Linked DNA regions of Callithrix jacchus. The protein of the gene in region 1 interacts with the protein of each later gene in a biochemical or structural test. Links are inferred from orthologs where the notes say so. Each region holds a gene or a part of one and is shown in the gene's direction. Other genes may lie near its edges.

Evidence for each region. The genes of interacting proteins can lie anywhere in the genome.
Region 2: the proteins of SUPT5H (region 1) and CCNT1 form a complex in vitro, tested with the Homo sapiens proteins (2 studies listed by BioGRID, with this or other methods). The link is inferred for Callithrix jacchus from reciprocal best matches to the Homo sapiens genes SUPT5H and CCNT1.

Annotation. Positions count from the first base shown.
Region 1 is NC_133523.1:34,929,871-34,933,620, forward strand, and holds the start of SUPT5H (transcription elongation factor SPT5), read left to right. Parts: upstream 1-926; 5' UTR 927-995; exon of another isoform or gene 996-1,037; intron 1,038-1,165; 5' UTR 1,166-1,252; coding exon 1,253-1,327; intron 1,328-3,750. UniProt on the Homo sapiens protein: Component of the DRB sensitivity-inducing factor complex (DSIF complex), which regulates mRNA processing and transcription elongation by RNA polymerase II.
Region 2 is NC_133510.1:70,881,544-70,885,193, forward strand, and holds part of CCNT1 (cyclin-T1), read left to right. Parts: intron 1-1,301; coding exon 1,302-2,711; 3' UTR 2,712-3,650. UniProt on the Homo sapiens protein: Regulatory subunit of the cyclin-dependent kinase pair (CDK9/cyclin-T1) complex, also called positive transcription elongation factor B (P-TEFb), which facilitates the transition from abortive to productive elongation by phosphorylating the CTD (C-terminal domain) of the large subunit of RNA polymerase II (RNA Pol II).

The DNA of each region.
Region 1 (3,750 bases):
AAGCAATTTTCTGCCTCACCTTCCCAGTAGCTGGGATTACAGGTGTCCACCACCACACCTGGCTAACTTTTCTATTTTTAGTTTCAGCGTCTTGGCCCGGCTGGTCTTGAACTCCTGACCTCGTGATCCTCCTGCCTCAGCCTCCCAAAGCGCTGGGTTTACAGGCGAAGGTTCATTTTTCTCTTTTTTTGTTAAAAATTCTTCCTGTTGATTTTCAGCTTCATTTTTCATCTCTCCCTTACACCTGTCCTTTCTGCCACCACTCGTCAGCCGTCATTACTAATAAATAAATTCTCCTTTAACTGAACGTAGGGAGCCTGGAAAAAAAAATGGGGGCTTGGGTCGGCGCGCCAGGTAACGCCTGTAATCTCAGCACTTTGGGAAGCCGAGGCCGGAGGATGGCTTGAGCCCAGGAGTTTCAGACCAGCCCGGGCAACATAGTGAGACCCCAACACTACAAAAAATAAGAAGAAAGAAAAAGAAAACAAGGGCTTCACGGTCACTTAGACTTGGCGAGGAGGCTTGAGTCTGCTGCTTTCCACTGAGCTTTAGCGTTCTCTGCAAAATAGGGATACTTATCTCCTGGGGATGCTTTAGAGGGCCTAGGATATAAGCCTGGTTTCTTTTCTAATTTGCTGTTCGCCGATTCCCCGCCTCCTCGCGGCTTGGCATATCGCGCTAGTGGCCTGGACTATCGAACAAACGGCTCACTCAATTCAAACACGAGTTCCAGCCTGGAAAAGGCCGAGACGGCAGGGTAAAAATACTTTTCCTCGCATGACCCTCCACAGATGTCGGCCGCGAACTCTGCCTAAGCCAGCCCTGCCTCTCTTATGATGGCGACCCAGAAGTGAGTCGTCCGGGCCAGCCCCGGAAATCTCGCGTTAGGTGAGGCCAATGGATGGGTTCTCGCGAGAGGACCCGTCAGCCCCAGCAAGGCGTCGTGCGAACTGCAGCTGGTATCTAAGTCGTAGGTGGAGTCGGAGCGGTTAAGTGTAGGTGCAGAGGTGGCAGTTCCGGGGGCAGCCGGGGGCCGGGTAGGTGTAGGGAGCGGATTCGTAAACTAGGAAGGTCTAACATGTGGCGTAGGAGGGGGTCCGCACTCCAGTTCACGATTGCCAAAACGAGGCTGCCGGAAGTGCGCTAAGGGGTTTTCTTCTCCCAGGGAACCAGCGGGGAAACTGAGGCTCGAGGTGGCGCTCAGGATTGTGGGACACGCTGAGGCGGCCGTCTTTTCCCGCAGCAGCGGAAGATGTCGGACAGCGAGGACAGCAACTTCTCCGAGGAGGAGGACAGCGAGCGCAGTAGTGACGGCGAGGAGGCCGAGGTCTGTGGCAGGGGCGCTGGGGGAGATACTGCGCCTGGGGACAGGACTCGGGGCAGAAAGTCCCTTGTGGGAGGCTCGAGGGGTTCACAGCGAGCTCTGGCTTCTGGGAGATCCCAGATTGTTGTAAGAGGCAGAGAAGTACGCAAGTTGAAGTCAAGCAAAGGGACAGGTTCTGGAGGCCAGAGATGAGCCAGGTCCAGTGAGATAACAGGTGATGTTTTTAAAGTTTACTCTGTGTGTATATAGTAAGCACTTAGCATTAGTTATTTTTTTTAGTTACGTCTAGTCATTCCAGAAATAAATTTGTAGTGCCTGCTATATACCAGGCGCAATTCTTTGCCCTTGGGGTACACCAGTAAACAAAGCAGATTTAAAAAATTTCTGGCTTCGAGAATGTAAATAAACATAGCCAATAAATACACCATATAGTAAGCTGGAAGATACTCTGGAGAAAGGGAGAATAGAGAAGGGGAGTGGAGAGTCCTGGTTGCACTTGAAATAGGGTCATCAACCTGAGTCTGAAGGGTGACATTTGAACAATGATTGAGGGAGTGGGTTGTGGTTAGCTGGAAGTGGAGTGTTCCAGTGAGGGGGACCAGCAGGTGGAAAGATGGCACTGTGTTTGCTGTGTTCAAGGATTAACGAGGATTTGAGAGGCCTAGATGGGAGGACGTGAGCCTAGAATTTCGAGGGCAATCTGGGCAATATAGTGGGACCCTGTCTCTACAAAAATATAAAAAAATTAGCCGATAGCCAACCACTGAAGACAAAAAAAGAAAAAAGAAAAAAAAATTAGCTGAGACTGGGTGTGGCAGCTCAAGCCTGTAATCCCAGCACTTTGGGAGGCCGAGGCGGGTGGATCACGATGTCAAGAGATCGAGATCATCCTGGTCAACATGGTGAAACCCCGTCTCTACTAAAAAAAAAAAAAAAAATACAAAAAATTAGCTGGGCATGGTGGCGCATGCCTGTAGTCCCAGCTACTCAGGAGGCTGAGGCAGGAGAATTGCCTGAACCCAGGAGGCGGAGGTTGTGGTGAGCTGAGATCGCGCCATTGCACTCCAGCCTGGGTAACAAGAGCGGAACTCCGTCTCAAAAAAAAAAAAAAAAAAAAAAATTAGCTGAGCATGGTGGCACGTTCCTGTAGTCCCAGCTACTCTGGAAGCTGAGATGGGAAGATCGCTTGAGCCAGCAGGTGAAGGTGCAGTGAGCTGCGATGGTGCCACTGCACTGCAGCCTGGGTGACAGAGTGAGACTCTGTCTCCCCACCTCCCCCCACAAAAAAGGGGTTCCAGTTTGGTTGGAACAGAGTGAGTGCAACAAGGAATTTATGGGAGCCAGGTCATATAGGATCTTGAAGGCTGTGGTAAGGAATTTGGCCTTAACTGAGCAAAATGCAACCATGAAAAAGTGAGCAGGTAGAAGATGGGATCATGTTTTGAAAGGATCACTCTGGCTTTGGATCTGTTGAGTACCTCAGTTTCAGGAACCAAAAAACAATCATTTCCTGGGGTGTTTCTGATTTGAAATGTTCTTTTATTGCCCATTATCCTTTTTGTGTTTTTTTGAGACAACATCTTGCTCTGTTGCACAGGCTGGAGTGCAGTGGCATGATCTTGGCTCACTGCAACCTCAGCCTCCTGAGTAGCTGGTATTACAGGTGCATGCCACCATGTTTGGCTCATTTTTGTATTTTTAGTAGAGATGGGGTTTTGCCATGTTGGCCAGTCTGGTCTCGAACTCCTTACCTCAGGTGATCCACCCTCCTGGGCCTCCCAGGTGCTGAGATTATAGGCGTGAGCCCCTGTGCCAGGCCCATTATCCTCTTTTTTTTTTTTCTTTTGTTTTTTGAGAGGCAGTTTCCACTCTTGTTACCCAGGCTGGAGTGCAATGGCACGATCTCGGCTCACCGCAACCTCCGCCTGTTGGGTTCAAGCCATTCTCCTGCCTCAGCCTCCTGAGTAGCTGGGACTACAGGTGCGTGCCACCATGCCCAGCTAATTTTTGTGTATTTAGTAGAGGTGGGGTTTCACCTTGATGACCAGGATGGTCTCGATCTCTTGACCTCGTGATCCACCCGCCTCAGCCTCCCAAAGTGCTGGGATTATAGGCGTGAGCCACCGTGCCCGGCCTCCTCTTTTTAAACTTGCTTTTGTTTTATTCATTTGTTGAACAAATCAGCGTTTGCATCTGCTACTGTGTTCCACTTCCCCGGTGTCTGGTAGGAAATCTTTGCTTTTTTGGAATTGACTTTAGTAGGTAGCAGTCAGAAACCAGTAAACAGATGATAAAGTGTTTATAGATCTCTTATTTGATGTATAAAAACTTAAGTTGGCTTTTTAAATTAGTTGCCAATGCTTGTGAGGGAGATTTCACATAAAGATTAAGATTTCTTTCTTTTTCTGGGAAAATGGATGGAGCTG
Region 2 (3,650 bases), on another chromosome or scaffold:
GTTGCAGAAAATGAGTTTGCCTCTTAGAAGCTTCGGATTAGAAGTAGGCTTGAGAGGCCAGGCATGGTGGCTCATGCTTGTAGTCCCAGCACTTTGGGAGGCCAAGGTGGGCAGATCACCTGAAGTCAGGAGTTTGAGACCAGCCTGGCCAACATGGTGAAACCCCATCTCTACCAAAAATACAAAAAATTAGCGGACGTGGTGGTGGGCACCTGTAATCTCTGCTACTCAGGAGGCTGAGACAGGAGAATCACTTGAACCCAGGAGGCGGAGGTTGCAGTGAGCTGAGATTGCACCACTGCACTCTAGCATGGGTGACAGAGTGAGACTCTGTCTCAAAAAAAAAAAAAAACCCAAAAACAACAACAAAAAGAAGTAGGCTTGAGATCACATAGTTCATCTTTTACTTTAGCATAAAATATCACCAAAATTTCTAGAATTCTGTTATGGACTGACTATAATCATAAGCAGAAGGCATAGATTTCATGTATGTGACTTTTTTTTTTGAGACGGAGTCTTGCTCTGTTGCCAAGCTGGAGTGCAGTGGCGCAATCTCGGCTCACTGCAACCTCTGCCTCCCAGGTTAAAGCAGTTCTCCTTCCTCAGTCTTCTGAATAGCTGGGATTACAGGTGTTTGCCACCACGTCCAGCTATTGTTTTTTTACATTTTTAGTAGAGACGGGGTTTTGCCATGTTGGCCCAGGATGGTCTCGATCTCCTGGCCTTGTGATCCACCCTTCTTGGCCTCCCAAAGTGTTGGGATTACAGGCGTGAGCCACTACGCCCGGCCATTGCTGTGACTCTTAATTGAAGGTTTTTAAGCTTTTTTTTTTTGAGACAGAGTCTTGCTCTGTCTCCAGGCTCCAGGCTGGAGTACAATGGTGCAGTCTTGGCTCACTGTAATTTCCGCTTCCTGGGTTCAAGCAATTCTTCTGCCTCAGCCTCCTGAGTAGCTGGTACTACAGGCGTGTGCCACCACACCCAGCTAATTTTTGTGTTTTTTAGTAGAGATGGGGTTTTACCATGTTGGCCAGGATGGTCTTGATATCTTGACCTCGTGATCCACCCATCTCGGCCTCCCAAAGTGCTGTGATTACAGGTGTGAGCCACTGCGCCTGGCAAGTGAAGGTTTTGAAATATTCTTTTGATGGTAATGTTTACTGGATTTCATGTTAGGAAAGTCTCCTGCCTGTGGTCTATCCAGAACTTCCAGTGTTGCTGCCAGTACAATTTACTCATCGCAGTGTTTTTTTATTTAATAAATTACCTGAAGTGAAGAGACGCTATTTGCTTCATTCCAGGCATGCCAGGCTGCCCAGAAAACAAAAGCAGATGACCGAGGAACAGATGAAAATACTTCAGAGCAGAGAATCCTCAATATGATTTCCCAGAGCTCTTCAGACACAACCATTGCAGGTTTAATGAGCATGTCAACTTCTTCTACCACAAATGCAGTGCCTTCCCTCCCAGTCTCCGAAGAATCATCCAGCAACTTAGCCAGTGTGGAGATGTTGCCTGGAGAGCGTTGGCTGTCCTCCCAACCTTCTTTCAAACTAGAACCTACTCAGGGTCATCGGACTAGTGACAATTTAGCACTTATAGGAGTTGATCATTCCTTACCACAGGATGGTTCAAATGCATTTATTTCCCAGAAGCAGAGTAGTAAGAGTGTGCCGTCAGCTAAAGTGTCACTGAAAGAATACCGTGCAAAGCATGCAGAAGAGTTGGCTGCTCAAAAGAAGCAACTGGAGAACATGGAAGCCAATGTGAAGTCACAGTATGCATATGCTGCCCAGAATCTCCTTTCTCATCATGATAGCCATTCTTCAGTCATTCTAAAAATGCCCTTAGAGGGTTCAGAAAACCCCGAGCGGTCTTTTCTGGAAAAGGCTGACAAAACAGCTCTCAAAATGAGAATTCCAGTGGCAGGTGGAGATAAGGCTGCCTCTTCAAAACCAGAGGAGATAAAAATGCGCATAAAAGTCCATGCTGCAGCTGATAAGCACAATTCTGTAGAGGACAGTGTTACAAAGAGCCGAGAGCACAAAGAAAAGCATAAGACTCACCCATCTAATCACCATCATCATCATAATCACCACTCACACAAGCACTCTCATTCACAACTTCCAGTTAGTACAGGGAACAAACGTCCAGGTGATCCAAAACATAGTAGCCAGACAAGCAACTTAGCACATAAAACCTATAGCTTGTCTAGTTCTTTTTCCTCTTCCAGTACTACTCGTAAAAGGGGACCCTCTGAAGAGACTGGAGGGGCAGTGTTTGATCATCCAACCAAGATTGCCAAGAGTAGTAAATCCTCTTCCCTAAATTTCTCCTTCCCTTCACTTCCTGCAATGGCTCAGATGCCTGGGCATAGCTCAGACACAAGTGGCCTTTCCTTTTCACAGCCCAGCTGTAAAACTCGAGTCTCTCATTCGAAACTGGATAAAGGGGCCACTGGGGCCAATGGTCATAACACGACCCAGACAATAGACTATCAAGATACTGTGAATATGCTTCACTCCCTGCTCAGTGCCCAAGGTGTTCAGCCCACTCAGCCCACTGCATTTGAATTTGTTCGTCCTTATAGCGAATATCTGAATCCTCGGGCTGGTGGAATCTCTTCCTCGAGATCTGGAAATACAGACAAACCCCGGCCACCACCTCTGCCATCAGAACCTCCTCCACCGCTTCCGCCCCTTCCTAAGTAAAAAAGAAAAACAGGAGGAGAAAAAAAACTTCTTTAAAAAAAAAATATATATACTTTTTTCTTTTTCTTTTCTTTCTTTTTTTTTTTTTTTTGACTACTGATTTGGACTAAGAAAATTACTTATGAAATATGTTACCCTTCATGGACTAGGGAGTAAATTGGTATTGAGACATAGGTGGGAGGGTAGTAGAAGGCCTTGGCTATTATATCTGCTGCCTCATGCATTTAACTATTTTCTTACAGTTTTTAACTGGTATTAGAGAGGTATTGAAGCTGTGAAGGATTAAGAACACTTTCTGAATTATTGGCCTCTCCACCGTCTAATTAGGTTGATTGGAGTATCTTCCCTCTTCTTGCCAGAGCCGAAAAATTGTTTTATCAGACAATTATGGATCCTTTTGGTGTTTAATATATCAGAAGAGAGGAAGTATTTAAACATCAAAATCTTTTTAAGAGACTTAAAAAAAATAATTTAAAGTAAGTTATCTGTTTAGTTTTTTTATATAATTGGGAAGGGGATAGGGATTTTGCTGTGTGTATGCAATACATAGCAGTGACTCCTGGTGGGTGGGATTGGAGGGTGGGAATGTGTGAGGGTGGGTGGGAGGGTAGGTTTTTGGCTAGGAGTTCTGAAATAGGCTCAGGCCACTTGAAGTGTCAGAATTTTAAGTGTGTATGTAAGTGTGGTTATGTGTGTTTTTAAGTGTGTGTGTTTAAAAATCATGTTTTACCTTTCCTTCCCTGTCCCTTACCATTTTCATTTCCAAACAGTCTACTAGAGAAGAACATGGTTGGCCTTGAGAACATAAAGGAAGAGGCATGTATTTGACATGGCATTTTCCCCTTTCTTTATGTTATAATTGAGTAGTAGCCCTCTAATTTCTAGCTTGGGCAAGTGCAGCCAGTACCCTGACTCTTCATTAGGAGAACTTCCTTTTTA